Daphnia pulex: one gene and its partners. The protein of the gene in region 1 binds, or shares a complex with, the protein of each later gene. Links are inferred from orthologs where the notes say so. Each region holds a gene or a part of one and is shown in the gene's direction. Other genes may lie near its edges.

Region 1 (6,319 bases):
AAGTGTCTTTTTTGTATACCGTGACTGTCGTGTTAGATTAAATTGCGTCATGTGTTTAACACAGACCCGAAAGAAAAGATGGTTTTGGAGATAAATGTTTGAACCGACAACAACACCGTCTAGGAGATTTGGATGTTGTGCATCTGCTGCTGATGAAAATCGTCCGAGATGAAACACAAAGAATGTACATGGTCGAGCCATGCGTGACGGCACGTTTTGTAACACTTTCCGGCTCTTGATCTCATTCATATCGACCACACAACTCACAAGCGCGTGTATAGCTACAGATTGAAAAATCTTTCATACCAGTCATTATGTGCTCATTACATGTTATAGACATTCCGCCGATATACTTTTACCAGCACCAGCTGGAAAGATTTTTATATTTTTTTAAAATGTTGCGCAACAACAAAACTGGGGGGAATTTATTTTTTCTTTTGAAAAGAAAAGGAGAAAGGGAGCAAATTGGCAACTCTCGCCAATTGCTCCTAATATTCACGTGTGCCTAGGCGGTTTTTTGAGCTTCTATATCCCCCCCCCCCATCCTTTTTTGAATGTGAACAAATCACGCTCTTTGCGGTTATTTCGCCGTGCGGTTGTACTGTACGCACAACTACTGTCATTGGCAACCCACCAACAAGCAGGTGCCTATTAGACCGTTGGTAGCCTACACCAAAAAATAAAAAAAAAGGAAAATGAACGCAGAATTCTTGATAAAACTTTTGTGCGACGTTATTTGTTATATATTCAACGAGCAGACGAATATACACAGGGAAATGGGTGCCGGGATATTATTGCGCTGGGCCCCGCCATCGTGTCGCAGGCATCAGCCCGGAAATCGTCCGTGACTTCCTCTTCAATGTGTTACATTTTTTTTGTTAGTTGGACAGGGCGAAAGAGAAACTCTTCTGTTACATACCAGAACTTTTCTTCGTATTGCTGAGAGACATTCCAGCGGACTTTCCCCAATCACCGACTGACAAGACGAATGGACAATAATTATTTAAAAATAAGCACCCCACCAAACACAGTCCGTCTACACGAGGACAGTACTTATGCAACTTTATTAGCTCTTGGACGATTTCAAACGACGTGATTTCCCAGTCAAAAAAAAAATTCTTTCTCTTGAATTTAGTTTTTGTTACGAAATGTGTGAGAAAAGCCATTTGGACTAATATTTTCTAATCTTTATGGTTCTATTTATAATCCATTCAAACTCCTTAGTCAAATTTACATGGGCGGTACATAAATCATATCTGGTGGGAGGTTTAATGATGGACACTAAAGAAAAATTTTGTCAATTAAACGAAGAAGAGATTACGTCCGGAATCAAAGTTTTAACGTGACCTAGAAAAAGCCTAAAAACTGAAATGTCAGGTGAACATTAAATTGTCTGACAGTCAACTTGTGACATTAGCTGAACCTGTGAGTGCTGCTCACTGTTCATACTGACATGAGTAACATCACCTGAACGCTGAGAATTTCCACTTGGGTGAGTTCTCAGACTTTAGGGTTGTACAGTATACACAAAACACCACGCACATGTGATGCATATGGAAATCCAAGTCGGGAATGAGGTGCTGAACTATTTTTTGGTGTCAAGCAAAGATTTCCACAGATTCGTAAACTTTTGTACTGTTAATTTAGTTATTCTAAATCTGGTGTTTTGAGCTTTTTAGAATCTGGACATTTCCACTGTACAATTAATTTTTTTTTCGTTTTTTTTCTTTTTATAAATGTAGGTTATTGTTCATTGTAAATTATAGTAAGAGTAAAAATATAAATGTTCTGGATTTAAACCAATTACGCAGTTCGCCAAGTCGTTAAATAAAACGAGCAGCCAAATGGTTTAATTAGACTCTGCTCCTCCTCCTTGACAGATGTCTAAATATATAGGGCATCATTCGTGTACTGCTGCTGGCTCAGTTTTATTTGACGGTATAATTTATTTCGGCGCAGAAAAGGAAAGGTGGTTCACCTGTTCTTTTCCAGTGTGTATTTATAATGCATTAACATCACATGTTGAAATTGACTCAAGTAAGGTGACGAATTCTATTTTTTGATAGGGAAAAGAGAAACTCCCGACCTCTTTGAATGTTTTTAAGCGCTTTCCACAATCATCGTTGACCAAAGAAAAGTTTTAAACCCAGCGCAGTATTATATTCAGTCTATACGACGCCAATGCTGAAGGTTTCATTATGTCCCATTCGTTAGTAACAATGTAGCACCATATTACCCGAGTGTGTTTGAATGCTTTACGACTTTGCCGCCTCTTTTACACGTATGTAGGTTATTATTTAATAAATCGCGCAATGTTGCAGCGTGCTGCCAGAAAAAAAGCTGTCAGAAAAAAAACAAAAAAATGGCGAATCACTATGAGATTCCAAATTGGTATTTAAACGCTTTAATAGGAAATGTGTAACGTACTGAAATAACCCCGATTTCTTTTTCTGCAGGGCTGGTAAACCGACGACTGGACTTCACCTTGATGTGACCAAAGATGGTAAACTTATCCAGGTAACATGCGTTTGTTAATTGCCGGCTTTGTTGATGGTTTTTTTTACCGGCTTGTATTTGTTTTTGTTCTTCGTGTTTCTTACAGAAATTGATGATAGATCAGAAGAAATGCTACCTCTTTGGCCGGAATCCTCAAATGTGTGATTTTTGTATTGACCATGCATCCTGCTCCAGGGTATGTTGTATCCTTCAAAATTATCACTTTGCATCTTTCGTTAATTTGTCGTCTGTCTTCATGATTCAAAGGTTCACTCTGCACTTGTGTGGCACAAGCATCTGAACCGTGCATTTCTTGTTGATCTGGGAAGCAGTAAGTTTATAACTTTGTCAAAAATTAATTGTTCATTGATCTAAATATTGTTTTCAAATATCCAGCCCATGGAACCTATATTGGTACTATGAGGATTGAAAGTGAAAAGCCTACCCAACTGCCAGTCGACAGCACTTTTCATTTTGGTGCTTCAACTAGATATTACATTTTGAGAGAGCGACCACAAAATGCCCCCAGACCGATCTTGGAAGAACTAGAAGAAGAAGCCAAAAGTGTTCACCAGGATGGAGGGAAACTTGGGCTTCCAGAATCAGAAATGGAGTTGGATGTGAGAGCCTTTTTATATTCAACTTTTTATGAAAATTTCACAAATGTTTGCTTTATCTAGAATCTGACTGAATTCAACACAGCTCATAATCGACGGATCTCAATGTTGGGTATTGCCGACGATGACGCAGGCAGCAGAATTGCCGCAGGCAAGAGAAAGAAGAGGTCGATCACTTTCAATGACGAAGAAGAAGTTATCAATCCGGAAGATATTGATCCGAATGTGGGAAGATTCCGCAATCTTGTTCACACTTCCCTCGTTATTCCTACTAAAGTAAATATTAAATAGTCTTCTAAATTCTGTTAAGTGGTGATATTAATTGTAAGTTTTCTTTCGTGACATTATAGCGGATTAAAAGCGAAACTTTAGCCAGTGGAACGATGTCAAGAGAGAACCAGTTCCACCGTTCTTTGTCAGCCTCGTCTGGAGGAGAAGGGCTGTACGGAGGCCTACCCCCTGAGATGGGTGAATCATCCCAGTCTCATTTAACATCTCAATCCGCGTCTTCTGGGCTCTTCTCTTCGACTTTAGCTTCAAAGTTGGGGCTTCCATTGATGCCTAACCCTGCCCCTGATGTCGATTTGTCCGCCCCAATGGAGCCAGCTGCCGCACCGGTCACTTCCCGGCTCAATGTCGAGTTTACACAACCTCCTGCGGTAGAGTCTGATCCTTCCTCCAACGGGCCCAAGAGAAAGAAATACGCCAAAGAAGCTTGGCCGGGTAAAAAGCCAGCACCCTCACTTCTTATGTAACGACAATTCACACCTCTACAACTTGTCATGTCATCACGTATTTTCCTCCTTTTTTTTTAAATAAAAGAAATTAACAAAAAACAACAACGAGATTTGAAATGATCGGCGACGTTGTAGGGATTCCTTGGAGAGAGTCATCGAAGGTGGTGGTCCTTTAGCCTGTTAAAAATTTTGACGCACGAGACTAATGTACTTTTAGGGATTCCACTGCTGCTGCTGCTGCTGACCGGATATAAGGGGAAGTCGGAGCCTACCCACGCCCTGGATTGCCTCTGTAATCAGCATGGGTCCATCGGCGACTGACGTTGATTTGCGGGTCTGGTTATTAGTGAACTTTGGTGTCTGAACTATTTCTCCCAATTGCTGCCGTACAGAATCCGATCGTGTGAAATCCACAAAGAGGTGAGTCTCTTCTGAAAAAAAAAAAAATCACATCCAGCGGATTGAATAGTTTACACGCGCCGGAATTTGAGCCACTGACGTGTCCGAAAATGGACGAGAAGAAAAGTTGGGATTTCGATGACCTACTGCCCTTTGTAGGCGAATTTGGACGGTACCAGAAGTTGCTTGTGTGGCTGGTTTGCCTTCCGGCATGCATTCCTTGCGGATTTCACGCTTTTAATCAGCTCTTTATGGCCAACGTTCCCGACCACTGGTGCAAAAGTCCGCCGGATGTGGATTCCCAAAACTGGAATTCCAGCGAATGGAAGATGACCAACATTCCTTACACGGTAATTACGTTAATTGAGTGAATTTACGAAGTGTTTAATCAATTTTGGGATTGACAGGTAAATGATGGAGTAATGGAGTTCAGCAAATGCACCATGTACAATTTTACGGAATCGGCCGACGGCAATAACGTTACCGAGTGCCTGTACGGATGGGAATTTGACAAGTCCATCATTTCTTCGTCGATTGTCATTGACGTAATGATTTTTATTTCCCCCCTACATTTTCTTTAAAATAATTAAATTTGCTTTTTCAGTTTGAACTAGTTTGCACTCGTAATCTTTACCCGACGATTGGACTTTCACTGTTAAACGTCGGAGGCATCATTGGCGTTTACATTTTTGGTGTTATTAGCGACAGGTAATTGGAATAGATTACGTAAATCAAGTTTAACCTCATTCGAAACTTTTTTAATTTCTCAAGGGTTGGAAGAAAGACGTCGTTCTTTCTTTGTCTGAGTGTCGAACTCGCCGGTGGAATACTCACAGCACTTGCTCCTAATTTTTGGCTTTGGGCCGCTTGCCGGTTTATGGTTGGAATTACAATTCCGGCCATCTATCAAATTCCATTCATCATAGGTATACGAATACAGTAGCAGTATGGCTGGTTTGCGTATCTAGGACACTCTAAGGATTCGTAATCTTAATCCAATTGTTGTTTCAATGACGTCTTTATAGCCTTGGAACTAGTCGGCCCTACCTATCGGACCTTTATCACCGTCATGACCTGTCTATTCTACACGATGGGTATGTTACTCCTGTCTGGAGTAGCTTATGTTGTCCGAGACTGGACCCATCTCTGCTACGCAACTACCCTTCCGTTTCTCGTCTTTTTCATCTATCTCGTGTAAATTCACAAAAATTGCACAATGAAAATCGCTGCGTCATATTTGATAATGATGTAATTTTTTAGATATCTGCCAGAATCTCCTCGATGGTTAATGTCACAAGGTCGTTTTGCCGAAGTGAAAGCTATAATGAAGACCTGCGCCAAGATTAATGGCAAGGAATTTCCCGAGCATTTGTTACCACAACTGGAAGTAATCAAAGTTGATTTCTTTAGCCCTCAAATCTAATAACAAAAGTGATGCAATTCACCACAAGACTTTCTTGCTTTACAGAGAAAAATGACCGAAAACCGCAATTCGAGTTTGACACGAAAAACGGCCCCAAAAGAACCCCACAAGGTCGTAGGCGTGACCAGTTTGTTCCGCACTCCGAATATGCGGCTTAAAACTATACTCATCACTTTCAATTGGTATCAACGTTATTCGTCTTAAAGGATTTCTAGTTTCTGAAACTTTCATTTTAATATTTCAGGTTCGCCAACAATACGGTTTATGTTGGGTTGAGTTATTACGGACCAGTGATGGGTAGCGATGAATACTTTTCCTTCTTTCTCTCCGGATTGGTGGAGATCCCTGGCTATCTCTTCTGTTGGGCCGTCATGGATCGCTGGGGGAGACGTTGGCCGCTCTGCATGCTAATGGTTGTTGGCGGACTCTTTTGCGTTGCCACTGTCTTGATGCCGGCGGGTCTGTGTCCATTTACTAGTAGCTGGGAAAATAATATTGTAACTTTGAAATAATTATTTACTTTTACAGAAGCTGTTAACGAGACATTAATCCTTTATTTGATCGCAAAATTCGCTATCGCCGCAAGTTTTCTCATTCTGTATCCTTTTGCTGGAGAACTCTATCCGACCGAGGTTCGTGGCATCGGT
Region 2 (7,047 bases), about 11 Mb from region 1:
CCGAGTTGATTGGCTCCCAAATGGCTTCCATTTCTACATGGATAAAGAACTGATTGGCGAATTGTTCCCACCTCCTGGTGGATTCTGGGAACTGGGAGGATTTGAAGGAGAGAATCTGTGGATCTCCGGCACTAATTTGGCCCCTTTCGATCAACGCGTAAACAATGCTAATAATTATCTTATATAAATAATAAAAATATTTCATTGCTATTTTGTGAATGGCAGTTCCATTTCTTGCTCAATGTCGCTGTTGGTGGAAATTTCTTTCCTGACGGTTGCCAAAATGAAGATTACGACAAACCGTGGAACGCATCTGATCCTACTCAAATGACGAAATTCTGGGAAAGTCGTGACAAATGGCTACCAACATGGAACGCTGGAACAGAAGACAATTCTATGCAAGTTGATTACATTCGAGTCTACTCTTTATGAAAACAATTGCTCAAACAAAAGAATCTTTTATAAAGTTGAATATTCTAAGAAATTGATTCATCTAATAAAAAAATGAGCCTTTTAAATGGTTATAAAATTATGCTATCCATCATCCATGAAGAAAATTGGCGATAAGTGTTATTTGAACAATAAACATTAGATTTTCTATTTCGGTTTTACTTATCGCTCATTTTCTGGCCCTAAATCATGACGTGAAAAACTTGTATTATTCAAACATGTAGACAGGTACACGGGTAACAGTTTTATTGTTTGAAAATCGCTGTATATATAAGTGATAACCGCGATGTTGGGTTACAGACAACCTATACCAATCTGCGTAGGTAGTTATGTCAAAATTATGAACCTTGTACACACTTCTAATCCCGCAACCGCAAGAGCCATTTACGATAAAGATTTGAACGACAGCGATCCCAGCAGTAAACCGCAACAACACTCTAATACATTGTAATGCGTTGGTCTCAAAATTGTACGTGATCCTTGACAGGCCATAGTTTAATCAAACAATCGTCATTGCATTATTGGACTGCGTACCTACTGGGTTGCAAACAAAACAAACACTATGCGTATTTAAGGCACTACTCTGCGCTCAGATTAGAGTAGTCTTTCTTCAAGTGTTCAAGAGAAGCAGGAATTCAATTTTAGCCTACTTGCAAAGAGGGAAAATGAAGCTTGCAACTTTTGCCATTTTGGCTGCTGCCCTGGCCGTTTGCCATGGAGCCAGTTTCAACAGTCCAGCGCGTGGTCCGCTCATCTGGCAAGAAGAATTCGACTTTCTCGACTACAGCAGGTGGAAGCACTTGATCACTGCATGGAGAGGTGGTAACAACGAATTCCAGTATTACGACAACCTCCCAGAAAACAGGTACACTAATTGAGCAGAGACAAATGTATTTTAAGCTTTTAACTAATCTATGATTCTTCCCTTAAAGCTATGTTCGAAATGGGATCCTATACATCAAGCCAACTTTGACAGCGGATCGTTTTGGCGAGGATTTCCTGTACAACGGTGTCCTTGATTTGAACGCCGAGGGTTGCAATATTAACATCGATGGAGGCTGCTACGTGTAATATTTCTATATAGTAACAAAAATATTTTGATTTTCCATTTTCATTTCATCAATCATAGGGTGGCTGGCAATGAAATTATCAATCCAGCTCAGTCTGCCCGAATGGTGACGAGTGATTCGTTCAGTTTTACTTACGGAACAATCGAAGTCAGAGCTAAAATGCCAAAAGGTGACTGGATTTGGCCAGGTAGAAATGAGTTGTTATTAAATATAAAAACAATTGGGAAATTAATAGTATTGAAATATCCTATAAAGCAATTTGGATGTTGCCTACTGACGAAATTTATGGTGGTTGGCCACGATCGGGTGAGATTGACATCGTAGAGTCCCGAGGAAACGCCGATTTTTCGTGCAACGGCTATCCGATAGGGCGACAGTTGGCAGGAAGCACTTTGCATTGGGGTCCTGATCCCAACCAGAACCGTTTTGACCTTACCCACTGGGAAAAGTAAATTTACATATGTGCATGAATTAATTATAGTTACTACTTAGAATAATGTTAAACGTTTTTATTTTTCACAAAGGATCACTCAGAATCCAGATTTTGCCAGCGATTTCCACCTTTACCGTGTCGAATGGCTTCCAACTGGTTTCCAATTCTTCATTGATGATCAAATGATTGGTGAAATGTATCCCCCTGCAGGTGGATTCTGGGAATTGGGAGGATTTCAAGGACAGAACCTCTGGAGCGGTGGAACTGTAATGGCTCCCTTCGATCAAAAAGTATATATTTTTTTTTTATTATTTATTTTAAATATTTCATTTACATCATTGTCGTCGTGTTTGTGCAGTTCCATTTTCTTCTTAATGTCGCTGTCGGAGGTAACTACTTCCCTGACGGCTGTCAAAATGCCGTTTATGACAAGCCGTGGACCGCATCTGATCCTACTCAAATGAAAACTTTCTGGGAAAGCCGCGACAAATGGCTACCCACATGGAATGCTGCCACTGAAGACAACACAATGCAGGTTGATTATATTCGCGTGTATCAGCTTGGTTAAATTGCCACAAACTGATTTTAAAAAAAATTGATTTTATGGAAAGTTTAACTTGACTCTTAAAAGAATAGAATAAAAGAATGCAACATTTTCTTTATCCTTTATTTACTTCACCTCATAATTTGATGTAAAGAGATAGTATTACCACGGTTAGACCGTGGTATTGCAGTGTCAATGCTCAATGGTGCAAGGTTTTCAAATTTCCCACTACGCGTACTAGACTCCTCCCCAACTACTGCGGTTGCACGTACACGATCGAAATAAGAAATTAATATTAAAACAACAATATAAATATGAATGGGAAAACCTATTCGAATTAAAAATTGCTCATAAAGTTCAAAATAGGAATTTGCCTAATCAATGTTTTTCTAACTAAAAAAATAATTCATAAAATTTCGTTGGCTCCTCTTTTTTTTATATTTGGCAACGACGCCTCAGTATTTCTATTCGAAAATTTTAGAAAGAAATCGTGAACAAGTGTGACAAGGAGTTGGTGATGTACTCATGTCCGTTGTTTCTTCTTTCTTTTATCGAACGAAATATTTAATAAAGCACGAGAATAGTCCAGGTCAGACAGAGAGGAAGCTAGGTAATTTGTCATCTTTCTACTGCTGCCTTCGTATTTTATGGTAAACCTTTTGTACATTATGCTAATGCTCTACTGGTTCATGATCACCTAAATTTCAAATCCAGAATCTAGAGGAATTTAAGCTGAATTGACATACAAAATGTCCAAGTTCCCATTGAATGATGAAAGTGACCTGGTTCCATCTACACCAGAAGGTAAAACATTTAGAATTTGAAAAGTAAGGCTTTCTAACATCATTCTGTTTCCTTATTTGAAGATGTGTCTGATAACGAGGCGTATGAAACTCCAGCTGCCCATTCTTTTAATAAATACTCAAAGTCTAATGTGAAAGCATCTGCTGTTTCACGTACAGAGAAGATAGAAGAGTCAGTACAGGGAGAAGATTCAGACTCTTACAGCGTTGAGGGAGAAGAAGAGGAGGAGTCCCAGCATTCATCTAGGCCTGGATCTTCAGATGATGAGGAACCTGAAGATGAGGTAGATAAAAGTCGATCCTCTAACCTGGTTGTCAGTCCTTTTGAAACTAAAAAAGGATCGAAGCAAAAGGCTCATAGATTTATTGAGAGTTCAGAAGACGAGTCTGATGATGAGTCTGATGAAGAAGATGTGTCATATCGTGTGAGAGGAAAACGTCTTGGATCTAGTGAAAAATATTCAACTAGTCAAATTGGAGACCTGGATGAATCTTACCAAGTAATTCAAGCTGGAAGGCGTCAAGCAAAATTGGTGATTCAAAGTTCTGGAGAAAATTCTGCTGAAACTTCTGACATTGAAGGCTTGGCAATTCAGAAGGCCAATGCTTCTGATAGCTCTGACGAATCCGCAGAAGATTCTTTTGGTTCCTCCGTTAAGAAGAAGCCAACCCGAAATCCAATTGATAGTGATTCCGATTCTAGTGGACCACCGGTTAGAGGAAAAGCAATTGACACTGACACTAGTGAAGAGTCCGATTCTAGTGTTGAAGCAACACCGCGAGTCTATCGTGAACAAACTGGAAGGAAAGCTGCATTATCATCCACTGAAGATGAGTCTGAGGATAATATTAGGAAAGAGATGACTCCTCGTATCCGAAAGCAATTCATCGACAGTGACGTATCTACTGAAGAAGAAGTAAGGGTTCCTCGTATAAAAACTCCTCATGTCCGAGATCAAATCATCGACAGTGACGTATCTACCGAAGATGAGGTTGAAGCCATTGCCCCACGGCTCCCTTCGTCCTCTCGTATCCCTACACCACAAGCGATTCAGCGTGCTCTTCGCAATACCAGTCTTGATAGACACGTTTCGGGGAATGATTCAAACATGGATCCCATTAACGCTAATCATGTAAGTTGGCCGTGATTAAAGCTGCCTATGATTAGACCTTTAATATATTTTTTATTTTATTTCAGGAAATGTCGAGGAAATCGGCCGATAAAAGATTTTCGCCTCCTGAGCCTCTTGTAGAGGAAGAAGAAGTACCGATCCAAGATCTATCCAATAGTATTCTTGAGGTATCAAGTACTGTTGTATCTTTTTCGAGCCCTGAAGTTGAAGGAAAAGAACAAGATCAGAGCATAACTGAGTTATCATCACCGGAAATTGCACGAACTCTTCCTGTTCGACTCTCGGCAGCAGAAATAACGCGGATGCGTGAAGATCTTGAGCGCCAAAAACTTCTTTTGGTATCGTCAAATTTAAAATCATTGCCCGATGGAGGAGAAAGGCTCCGAGACAAAATTCGTAAGCTGACTGAACAGCTAGAAACAGCCAACAAACTCGGTGTAAATCCCCCAATGCGCCCCGTTCCAGTTTCATCAGTAGCGTCAAGTGAAGTCCAAGAAGATGAACTTCGAAAACAAATACAAATGAAAAAGGTTATTTTCCAACAATTATTTTCTGAAGATAAGATAAATTTTATTATTGTTTTTTCTAGTGGGCCATGGGTAACGCAAATAGCGACGACAAGGAGCGCCTGCGAACTGAAATCGGTGCCATGGAGGGTCGTCTTATTAAGTTGTCAATTGCCAATGCAACCAACGCCGGCAGCAGCAGTTACGGCTCAAAACATTTGGATTTCCAAAATGACACGCAGAATCGCCAATTAGCTGTAAAACCGAAAAAAACCCAACTTCTTCCTGAAGCTCCCAGACTAACCGAAATGCAGAAGAAGATGTTTGCCGATAATGCGGGAAAGGAACTCTACCAGAAAACGGAAACCGGTTAGTAATAATAGTCATGTTTTTTTTTTTACAGCAACTCAAATTCTCCTCCTTTTAAATAGGTTACATCTCTGCTGCTGCCCGTCGTGAGGCTGTTTCCATCACTATGGATTCGCTTGAAAACCTTCATCGTTCTCTCGCCAGTTGCCCAAAAGAAACCGATGTGGAGAGTACGCCCGCCTGCCTCACAGTTCCTCTCTTGGCGCACCAGGAGCGCGCACTCAAATGGCTTTTATGGCGCGAGACTCAAATTCCTGCTGGTAAGCGACGTGATTACTTGTTCATTCAGTTATTCCCTAAACTTAATTTATTCTTATTTTTCTTTTAGGTGGAATATTGGCGGACGACATGGGTTTAGGCAAGACACTGACCATGATTGCATTGATCGTGAAACAAAAGGAACTAGATCCTCCACCACCTGCGTCCTCCAACATTTGGCTCTCCAAGACCGTCAAGATCAAAAGGTCATCTGGTACTCTCGTTGTTTGCCCCGCCAGTGTAGTGGGTAAGTGTTATCCAATTAACTTAGTTTATTAAACGTAGCTTCACAACAATCAAGTGGCAAGAAACATGGAAAGAGTTAATGAACCAAACGGGGAATGGGAATTTCTTTGTAACATCAGGACAGTGAGTGAAATAAGTAACAAGTTCCTCGTAGAGAATTTTTCTCGCCTGCAATGAAAGAAAAGCGATTATTGAATTTGTAAAATTCTAGACATTCGTTTAGACTTACGTTTTACGACTGTGAAAATCTTCTGGCTAGACGATTCTGTTTGTTTCTTCCATTTGTTTTTTTAAATTGACCAAAAGACTGTCGACATCGACATCTTGGTAATCGATTCGTTTGGGTGTCGTTTGACTTGTCGGGGTTGGTTGAGACGGTGAAATCGGTACGTTTTCGTGTTTCACTTTGGCATTGTTCAAACGACGTTGACTGAAATAACCACTGCGAAGGATCCGAGAGATGATTGCCTTTCCATCGTAGTACGTAATGTTAGTCCCTGGAACTGATTTTCTTTCTCCCTCCATCAGAAATTTGAAATGCTCGGATGCTTTTAAGTTTTCTTCGATCTAAAGATAAAACAACGTGGTTAAAGTAAACGATAGTAATAGTGTCACAGAACGAGTTTCTTTACCGGTGCATTCATGACAAATTCAAGTAGAGTTTTAGGACTTTTAGTTGAAGTGGTAAGTCGATGAAATGTCTTCAAAATTTCGATATCTTCCTGGCTTAGTTGTGGAGCCCCTTGTAATCCGCGAAGAAAGTCTTGACGAATGGCACTACCAATACTCTGTGTGCTCAAAGCATGGAGCATTTCCTAATCAAAAATATCTCACATTCAATAGAGGATACACAAGTTTCAATTTAGTTGAACTTACCTGAACGTCGATGACTTGCTCCAAGTGGTACAAAACCTGCTGTTTTTCGTTTCGCCTTTGTTTTGCAATACCTTTAGGTCTACTAACGAGGGTTTGAGAAAGTATTTTCGAGGTTGAATTCGGAGACACAAAAGCACCTGGTGAGCTTAACGACTTTTCATTTTCACGTTGCATTTTGGCTCGTCTCGAACACGACAATAAATCGACTACCACGTGTGAATGCCGGCAACAAAACTGAATCTGCGAAGCAAGGTCACCCTCTACCTAACCTCCGGTTATGGGGGGGGTGGCCTAGGGTTACACACTCGGAAGGGTTGGGAAAAGGCGCGGCTTACGTTATGGCGTCCTAAATTAGTTTG
Region 3 (6,284 bases), on another chromosome or scaffold:
CGAGTTGAGCTATCCAGCGCAGTGGTTTAAATGTTGTCAATACTTAAAAATGAAGAATTCAGTTCGGTCTGGGTGCAGGTCTGGTGAGTTTCATATTAATTCAGTTATCATTAGCTCAAGGTAGATAAATTGCAAAAAGAAAAAAAAAAAACATTAACTCAACAACAAATGGAAATTATAAATCTGTAATGATTACCTACGGGATACGTATGATCGCCGTACGCAAGCGTTTAAAGTGGATCACAGTAAAAAATCAAAATGGCCTGTATAAAAAAAAATCCCCGGGATCGTAATTATTTATGAACATATCTAATGGGTAATTTAATAACTTACGACGATGATGATTTGAGTGTATTATCATATAAAACCACAGGTCCACAAACTCCACACTTGCTTTTACTTCACTGGCAGTCTACAAAACTGAAACTAAGTTATCTATTCGCCTTCTAGACGAATAATTGTTAAATATAACTTACTCTGATCAAACAAACAAAATTCGTACAGCCTATACAGGCAGCAAAAGCTAACATTTCGGGATCAAAGTCATGCCACGTCATCGGATATTTTGGCTAAGAGAATTATAGGCTAGTTTACCTGTAAATTCACACACAAATATGTTACACACTAAAAACTTGAGGAATGCAAACCAGAATACCTTTTTCATTTTCATAATGGGAAATAGCAAAGTATAAACTGGCGAATTGAGTAGCATCCGGTAGTATCTAGCAATGAAGCCCGACAATATTCCCGAAACAACTAAACAAGCGGACACTATCATGAATGTCTCCGCCCACGTACCTCTGTACTTCATGGCCACCTGGCGCACACGTTTAAAACACCTTAAGCAAAAACAAGTACATGTGGAAGAAAAACAGCAGTTGTTCCTAATTTAACAACATTCCCAATTAACAAGCAGCAAGGTGACGAAGTCAAAATGTTCTGCATTAGAAAAAAAGCTTCAATTTGACCTGGCTGACATATCCTGTGAACGAAAGGAAATGTAATGCATTGTTATGCATAAATCATTGTCAGAGAAACCAACAGGGAAAATTAAGATTCAGTTGGAAAAACGGTTTAACAACTTCTGTAAATTTCTTTGATTTCATTATAAAAAGCTTAGCATTATCTGAGGAAATCTAATAATCCAAACTGTAGAGCTCACTTAAGTGACATAAAAGAAAGTATCTCACCACGCAATAATGGATCAAATCGATGTTCTCGAAAAAAGACAAACTTCCAGCTATTAGTAACATGGAGGTATATTAAAATTAATATCTATCAAATAATTAATATTAGCAGACAGAAATTTGTGTACCTTTACACAAGGCACAATTATTATTTACAGGACATTTAAATCATTTGTCTATAATTTGTCGTAATCTACTGCGTTCATTGAAGTTGTTTAACGTCTCGGAAACGATTTTCAGCTGGGTCAGCCGCCTGATGTAAAGAGGACCTTAATTTTACAATGTCCTTAACGTTGTCTTCATTTTCAGGCTCTTATAGACCTTTTTATGGATAGTTAGACAGCGGAAAATAACTCTAAATCCCAACTAAAACTTTAAATAACCACGCATTTACGTTCTTATATAATTAATTACATCAACAAAACGCACAAATTACAAAACCGAAAAAACTTACATTTCCTTAAGGGAGAAGAAGATAATTCTGATCTTCCTGATGGGTTGGCACACCAACACCTCCTGCTCATGAAACTATAGACATCCCATCTACAGGAGTGGTATTCCAATCCATATGCAAGAAACATTGCAGCAAGAGAGACATACACAACTCTGAGCTTCATGCAATGTTTGACGACTCGAGGATTCCACAATAGTGCAATCGTGAAAATTCTTCATCTTAGAAGATGAAAAGGTTTCCAGGAAGCCAGGATGCTTACGGCAGGCGGAGATTCACCGAGTATCTTGCAGTCAAGGCAAGAGAGTCTGATCACAGTGAAGTACACGTCTTTGGTTTAGGATCAAGCGGAAGAGTTCTTCTAGAAATTCAAAAAGAGTAGGAGGTGATTAGGTTCAAGCAACGTTATCCTTCCAGTGCCCCCTTAAACATAGCAATAGGAAAAAAGCAAAATGAAAAGAACAAATATTACGAAAAATTCCGCAAAATTCTGTCGAAAAATGTATAAATAAGGTGATAATATAATATTATACTTATATTGGTTACTCAATTTGTGCTATCAAAAGATTCATTTCAGGCTTCAGGAAGGAATGATTTTTTAACACTTAGAAAGAAGCAAAAGCTGAAATCTGTGCTTGACTAACAAAAACATTGAGGAAACTCTATAATGCTATTTTCTAATAAATAAAACGAAAAGACAGTAAGTTTAATGAAGACTCTTATTCCAATCCCACTCCAACAAACTCAGCATGTTTAGGTAAATATTCTAAATTGAAATGCACAACAATGGTCGCCATTTGCATGACACCGTGAGATGGAGTAAGCTCTAACTGTTGCCAGTTTTTGTCAGTTTATTCCTTCATTTAATGACTCATTAATTTGAGAATAATTCTATTTAAATATTTAAGAATAAAAATATTTTTATACCTATCACTCTGGTCAAGTTGAAGAATTACTCAAATACGATTCCGAATTTCCCATATATCGGCAATCTGTCAAGGTTGTATGTCACTGTACTGCTTCTGTTTTGTTTTTGTCTAAAAGAACGGGACGCCTTTTTAAGTTACAGAACAATTAAACAAATCGTAAAAAAATATGGAAGAAATTGGTGATAATTCGGGAGAAGCTTCTCTAACATTTAAATTCAAGAAACCAAGTAGAAAACCTATGAGAAAACGTCTCGAAATTGAAGAGGACGATGATGCTGGTGGCAGTGATGAGCTCGACGTGTTGTATGCACATTCTTATAAATAATATAATTTAAAATGTATTGTCATATTTAATTTCCTAATTTTCTAGGTTAAAGCTGGAAGAGACAAAAGAGTTACAAAAGTTAAGAGAGAGACCCCACGGTATTAGTGCTGTGGCATTGGCAATTGGCAAGCGAATAACTGTTGAAGAGGAAGTTACAGTGGTAAGGCAGTGTATATAGAAATTTATACAAGATCATGCATTAACTAGTTTACTTGTTTAAGTAAAGAATGATCCCTTCAAAGTTACAACTGGTGGAATGGCTGATATGAAGGCAGTTAAAGCTGGAAAGCAAAATAGTTCATCTGCTGATGATGCATATGAAACTGGAATTGGTACACAGTTTTCCGTGGAAACCAACACTCGAGATGAAGATGCAGAAATGTGTGTAAATATTATTCATTTACAACTCTTGCAATTCAGTTATAAAATGTTTATTCTTTTTAGGATGAAGTATATTGAGGAGCAACTTGCAAAAAGGAAAGGTCTAATGCAAGAGGATGAAGATAAAAGTAATAAATACCTGACTCCTGAAGAAATTGCTTTTTCGTCAGTACCTGAATATCTGAGAGTGAAATCTAGTGTCCAATCTGAAGAAATGTTATCCAACCAGATGCTTAGCGGAATTCCGGAAGTAGATCTAGGAATAGAGTATGCCAGTCTAAAACATTTTTATATTAAAAATTTTTACAATGACTTTCATAATTATTTTATTAAAGGGCCAAAATTAAGAATATTGAAGCAACTGAAGAAGCAAAACAGAAGCTGCTTCAAGAAAGACTTCGTAAAAAAGATGGTCCTTCAATGTTTGTTCCGACTAACATGGCCGTTAATTTTGTCCAGCATAACAGATGTACCTTTCTATTATTGATCTATACTTAATTAAAAATTTCTAATCATATTTTTACATATTTTTAGTTAATATTGAAGAATCTGGCCCCCCACGTAAGAAACGTGCTGAAGCTTCTGTCAAACCAGCCGTCCCTGTAGAGTTACCTAAAAGGTTAGACAATGTCGGTGGGAAAAAAGAGCATGATAAGGCAAGCGACGACTTTTATTTCGAAAAGTTCCGGCGACAGTTCCGAAGATGATGAAAGTCTTAATTTTTCAAAAAAATACATACATTTTTCAAATAAACGATTTTTCAGTGCCATTTATTTCCTATTAAACATTTGCTTCGCCTTTTGAAGTAAAGATCGCATCTTTTGAAAAGCGCCCGTACTATTTGGAAGATTTTCGTATAGTTCAAGTTCACCCATGGTCCCAAGTTTCCCATTTTGCGCAAACTTGTCTCGTGAAGGTAGGATATTATAAGGTGAATATCGTATAGAGACAGGAGTTCCCATTGCCAAGAGCTTGCTCTTTTTCGGTGACAAGTCTTGATTGTTGATTGGTGACTCAATATTTAGAGGTAGATCTGATATTGACGAGGTAGGAATCGTCACTGCAGCAATATCCATTTCCTGAACCTCGTTGGTTAGGTTGGGAGATCCACTCTCTTTCAATGTGTCCCCAGTAACGATGCCAGTTGTTGTGTTGGTTGGGTTAGTGGTTTCACTCCCTTCAAAATTTTCTTCAATAACACAGTCATCGTCTTCATCTCCCAACTCAGCAAGCAATGCCTGGCGCTTTTCTTCAAGGTCTTCTATGGATGTATCCATGTCAACGATTTCCTAAAATAAGGAATTTTAACTTATTTGACAACATTTCAACGATTTTATCTAGCAACAAACCAAATTCGTTTCTTCACTAGAATTCTTTTGAGTTTTACTGTGCATCTTTAAATTGGCGATGAGAGCTTCTTTGGAATTGTGCTCTTGCATTGGAGGAAAGTTTAAATAGCGCCAATCCTGCGGTTGATTAGCGTTAAAAAAATTTACACTGTATTATAAAAGCAAAATGGGTTCCACTTACGTCACGGACTCGTCGATCAACAGGAACGTTGAAGCCAGGGTAATCGATGATTTTTTCATAGTCATAAGTAACTGTTTGGTTTGCTTCAGTTGAAGAGGGAGAAGTGGCAGCATCAATCATTTCTAACCCAGAAGAATATTCTTTAATATGCTCTATCCAGCCAGGAGGGTATCCTAAAATCCGCATTTGATAGATATGCAACGGGATTTCAGAACTTCTTAGACCCAAAGCTTCCCGTAACTCTCTACTGATGACACCAGGAGTAAAATGATCAAATTTGCTAGGCTTGTCAATATGATAACGATTCCTAAACAATAGAAAGAAAAATAGTAAGATAGTAAAATGGTACAATGCACTCATTTATGGTGTGACTGTTATTTATCACTTGACTTTTTAGAGGTTAGCATTACATTCGTGCTGGCTGCTTCTGCATGAATGAAGAACGATTTTTTGATATTTCTTTCTGATTCTTTGGGTTTGGGCAGTTCATAAGAGAGTGGTCACCCAAACAGTTAAAGCATCTGTTGTCTTGTTTTACACTATCTCCTGTAGAGTCTGTAGTATCTTCTCCAGATTTGAGAGTTGAACTAAATTCCTAATGAAAAACCAAGAAATAATTATAGTTTAATCAGAATATTTATCCACAGTATTACTTACCCTCGTAAATCTTGGTCCTAATGGTTTCTTTGTTCCCACTTCTGGTGTGGTATCTAAGCAAAACATTCCAGATACATCTTGAACGAAAATAACTTCAGGTCCATTCTCATTTTCAGATATAGGTTTACCTAAGCTAACCTGAAATCATGAAAATACTTAATAAATACCAACAATCATTAGAAGAATAATATTCTATAGTTACAGGTGTGTCCTGCTCAGTAGACAATGGTCCATCAGATGTTGCAGCAGCAGTTTCTGGTTTTGAAACAGATGATGAAACAACATGACTTTCACTAGCAAAAATGATCTCAGGTTCATCATTCCCATCTTCATTAATGATATTTTGAGTTGCAGTTGCTTTTCCCCTTGATTGTGGTGTAGTATTGTCAGTTACTATATGGCAGGATTTTTCTTCTACAAACACAACTTCTGGCTCGTCTTCTTCATTCGCTGTACTGCCATGTTCAGAACCAACTTCATCAACTACAAAGAAAACCTCTGAATCATTGGCATCATTCAATTTAAATAACTGAGTTTCCTCTTCTTCACAATTTGGTTTTTGTGTCGACATTTGTTTAACACTAGCAACACTAGTTTCATGCAAAATTTTAGCTAGATGCTTGATACATGAGATGCCCAAGATAATCACGTGTTTGTTCTGAAGAACCGAAATCCGAGAAACACAAATGAACTTGGTTACTGAACGAACATCAGCCTGTCTAAATAATTATTTTATCACAAAAAACTTAAGCGTCTTATTTTCAATAAAAGTAATCAAGAACTTCGATTGCAGGAAGAAAGAAGTCTTGTCAGTTCCAATCGGT

What was found.
Region 2: nuclear inhibitor of protein phosphatase 1-like (region 1) and transcription termination factor 2-like share a complex: the UniProt entries of both Homo sapiens proteins name them as parts of the spliceosome. The link is inferred for Daphnia pulex from reciprocal best matches to the Homo sapiens genes PPP1R8 and TTF2.
Region 3: nuclear inhibitor of protein phosphatase 1-like (region 1) and telomere length and silencing protein 1 homolog share a complex: the UniProt entries of both Homo sapiens proteins name them as parts of the spliceosome. The link is inferred for Daphnia pulex from reciprocal best matches to the Homo sapiens genes PPP1R8 and C9orf78.

What each region holds. Positions count from the first base shown.
Region 1 is NC_060026.1:2,726,400-2,732,718, forward strand, and holds nuclear inhibitor of protein phosphatase 1-like, read left to right. Parts: upstream 1-2,315; 5' UTR 2,316-2,362; coding exon 2,363-2,391; intron 2,392-2,456; coding exon 2,457-2,517; intron 2,518-2,602; coding exon 2,603-2,692; intron 2,693-2,763; coding exon 2,764-2,827; intron 2,828-2,892; coding exon 2,893-3,116; intron 3,117-3,176; coding exon 3,177-3,389; intron 3,390-3,463; coding exon 3,464-3,868; 3' UTR 3,869-3,873; downstream 3,874-6,319. Other genes in the region: carcinine transporter-like, read left to right, coding at 4,360-4,599, 4,657-4,794, 4,854-4,957, 5,021-5,175, 5,275-5,443, 5,510-5,636, 5,718-5,854, 5,917-6,131 and 1 more. UniProt on the Homo sapiens protein: Inhibitor subunit of the major nuclear protein phosphatase-1 (PP-1). It has RNA-binding activity but does not cleave RNA and may target PP-1 to RNA-associated substrates. May also be involved in pre-mRNA splicing.
Region 2 is NC_060026.1:13,495,088-13,502,134, reverse strand, and holds the start of transcription termination factor 2-like, read left to right. Parts: upstream 1-2,963; 5' UTR 2,964-3,147; intron 3,148-3,211; 5' UTR 3,212-3,246; coding exon 3,247-3,301; intron 3,302-3,363; coding exon 3,364-4,433; intron 4,434-4,498; coding exon 4,499-4,963; intron 4,964-5,022; coding exon 5,023-5,308; intron 5,309-5,370; coding exon 5,371-5,568; intron 5,569-5,636; coding exon 5,637-5,813; intron 5,814-5,823; exon of another isoform or gene 5,824-5,980; intron 5,981-6,041; exon of another isoform or gene 6,042-6,067; coding exon of another isoform or gene 6,068-6,379; intron 6,380-6,444; coding exon of another isoform or gene 6,445-6,627; intron 6,628-6,688; coding exon of another isoform or gene 6,689-6,862; exon of another isoform or gene 6,863-6,941; intron 6,942-7,047. Other genes in the region: beta-1,3-glucan-binding protein-like, read left to right, coding at 1-157, 226-432; beta-1,3-glucan-binding protein-like, read left to right, coding at 1,116-1,315, 1,383-1,517, 1,580-1,707, 1,776-1,968, 2,045-2,243, 2,312-2,521; uncharacterized protein LOC124203690, read right to left, coding at 6,068-6,379, 6,445-6,627, 6,689-6,862. UniProt on the Homo sapiens protein: DsDNA-dependent ATPase which acts as a transcription termination factor by coupling ATP hydrolysis with removal of RNA polymerase II from the DNA template. May contribute to mitotic transcription repression. May also be involved in pre-mRNA splicing.
Region 3 is NC_060023.1:10,022,616-10,028,899, reverse strand, and holds telomere length and silencing protein 1 homolog, read left to right. Parts: upstream 1-2,637; 5' UTR 2,638-2,733; coding exon 2,734-2,870; intron 2,871-2,937; coding exon 2,938-3,052; intron 3,053-3,118; coding exon 3,119-3,273; intron 3,274-3,336; coding exon 3,337-3,540; intron 3,541-3,608; coding exon 3,609-3,742; intron 3,743-3,807; coding exon 3,808-3,980; 3' UTR 3,981-4,021; downstream 4,022-6,284. Other genes in the region: zinc finger CCHC domain-containing protein 8 homolog, read right to left, coding at 4,044-4,562, 4,623-4,739, 4,804-5,110, 5,214-5,398, 5,461-5,598, 5,663-6,031. UniProt on the Homo sapiens protein: Plays a role in pre-mRNA splicing by promoting usage of the upstream 3'-splice site at alternative NAGNAG splice sites; these are sites featuring alternative acceptor motifs separated by only a few nucleotides. May also modulate exon inclusion events.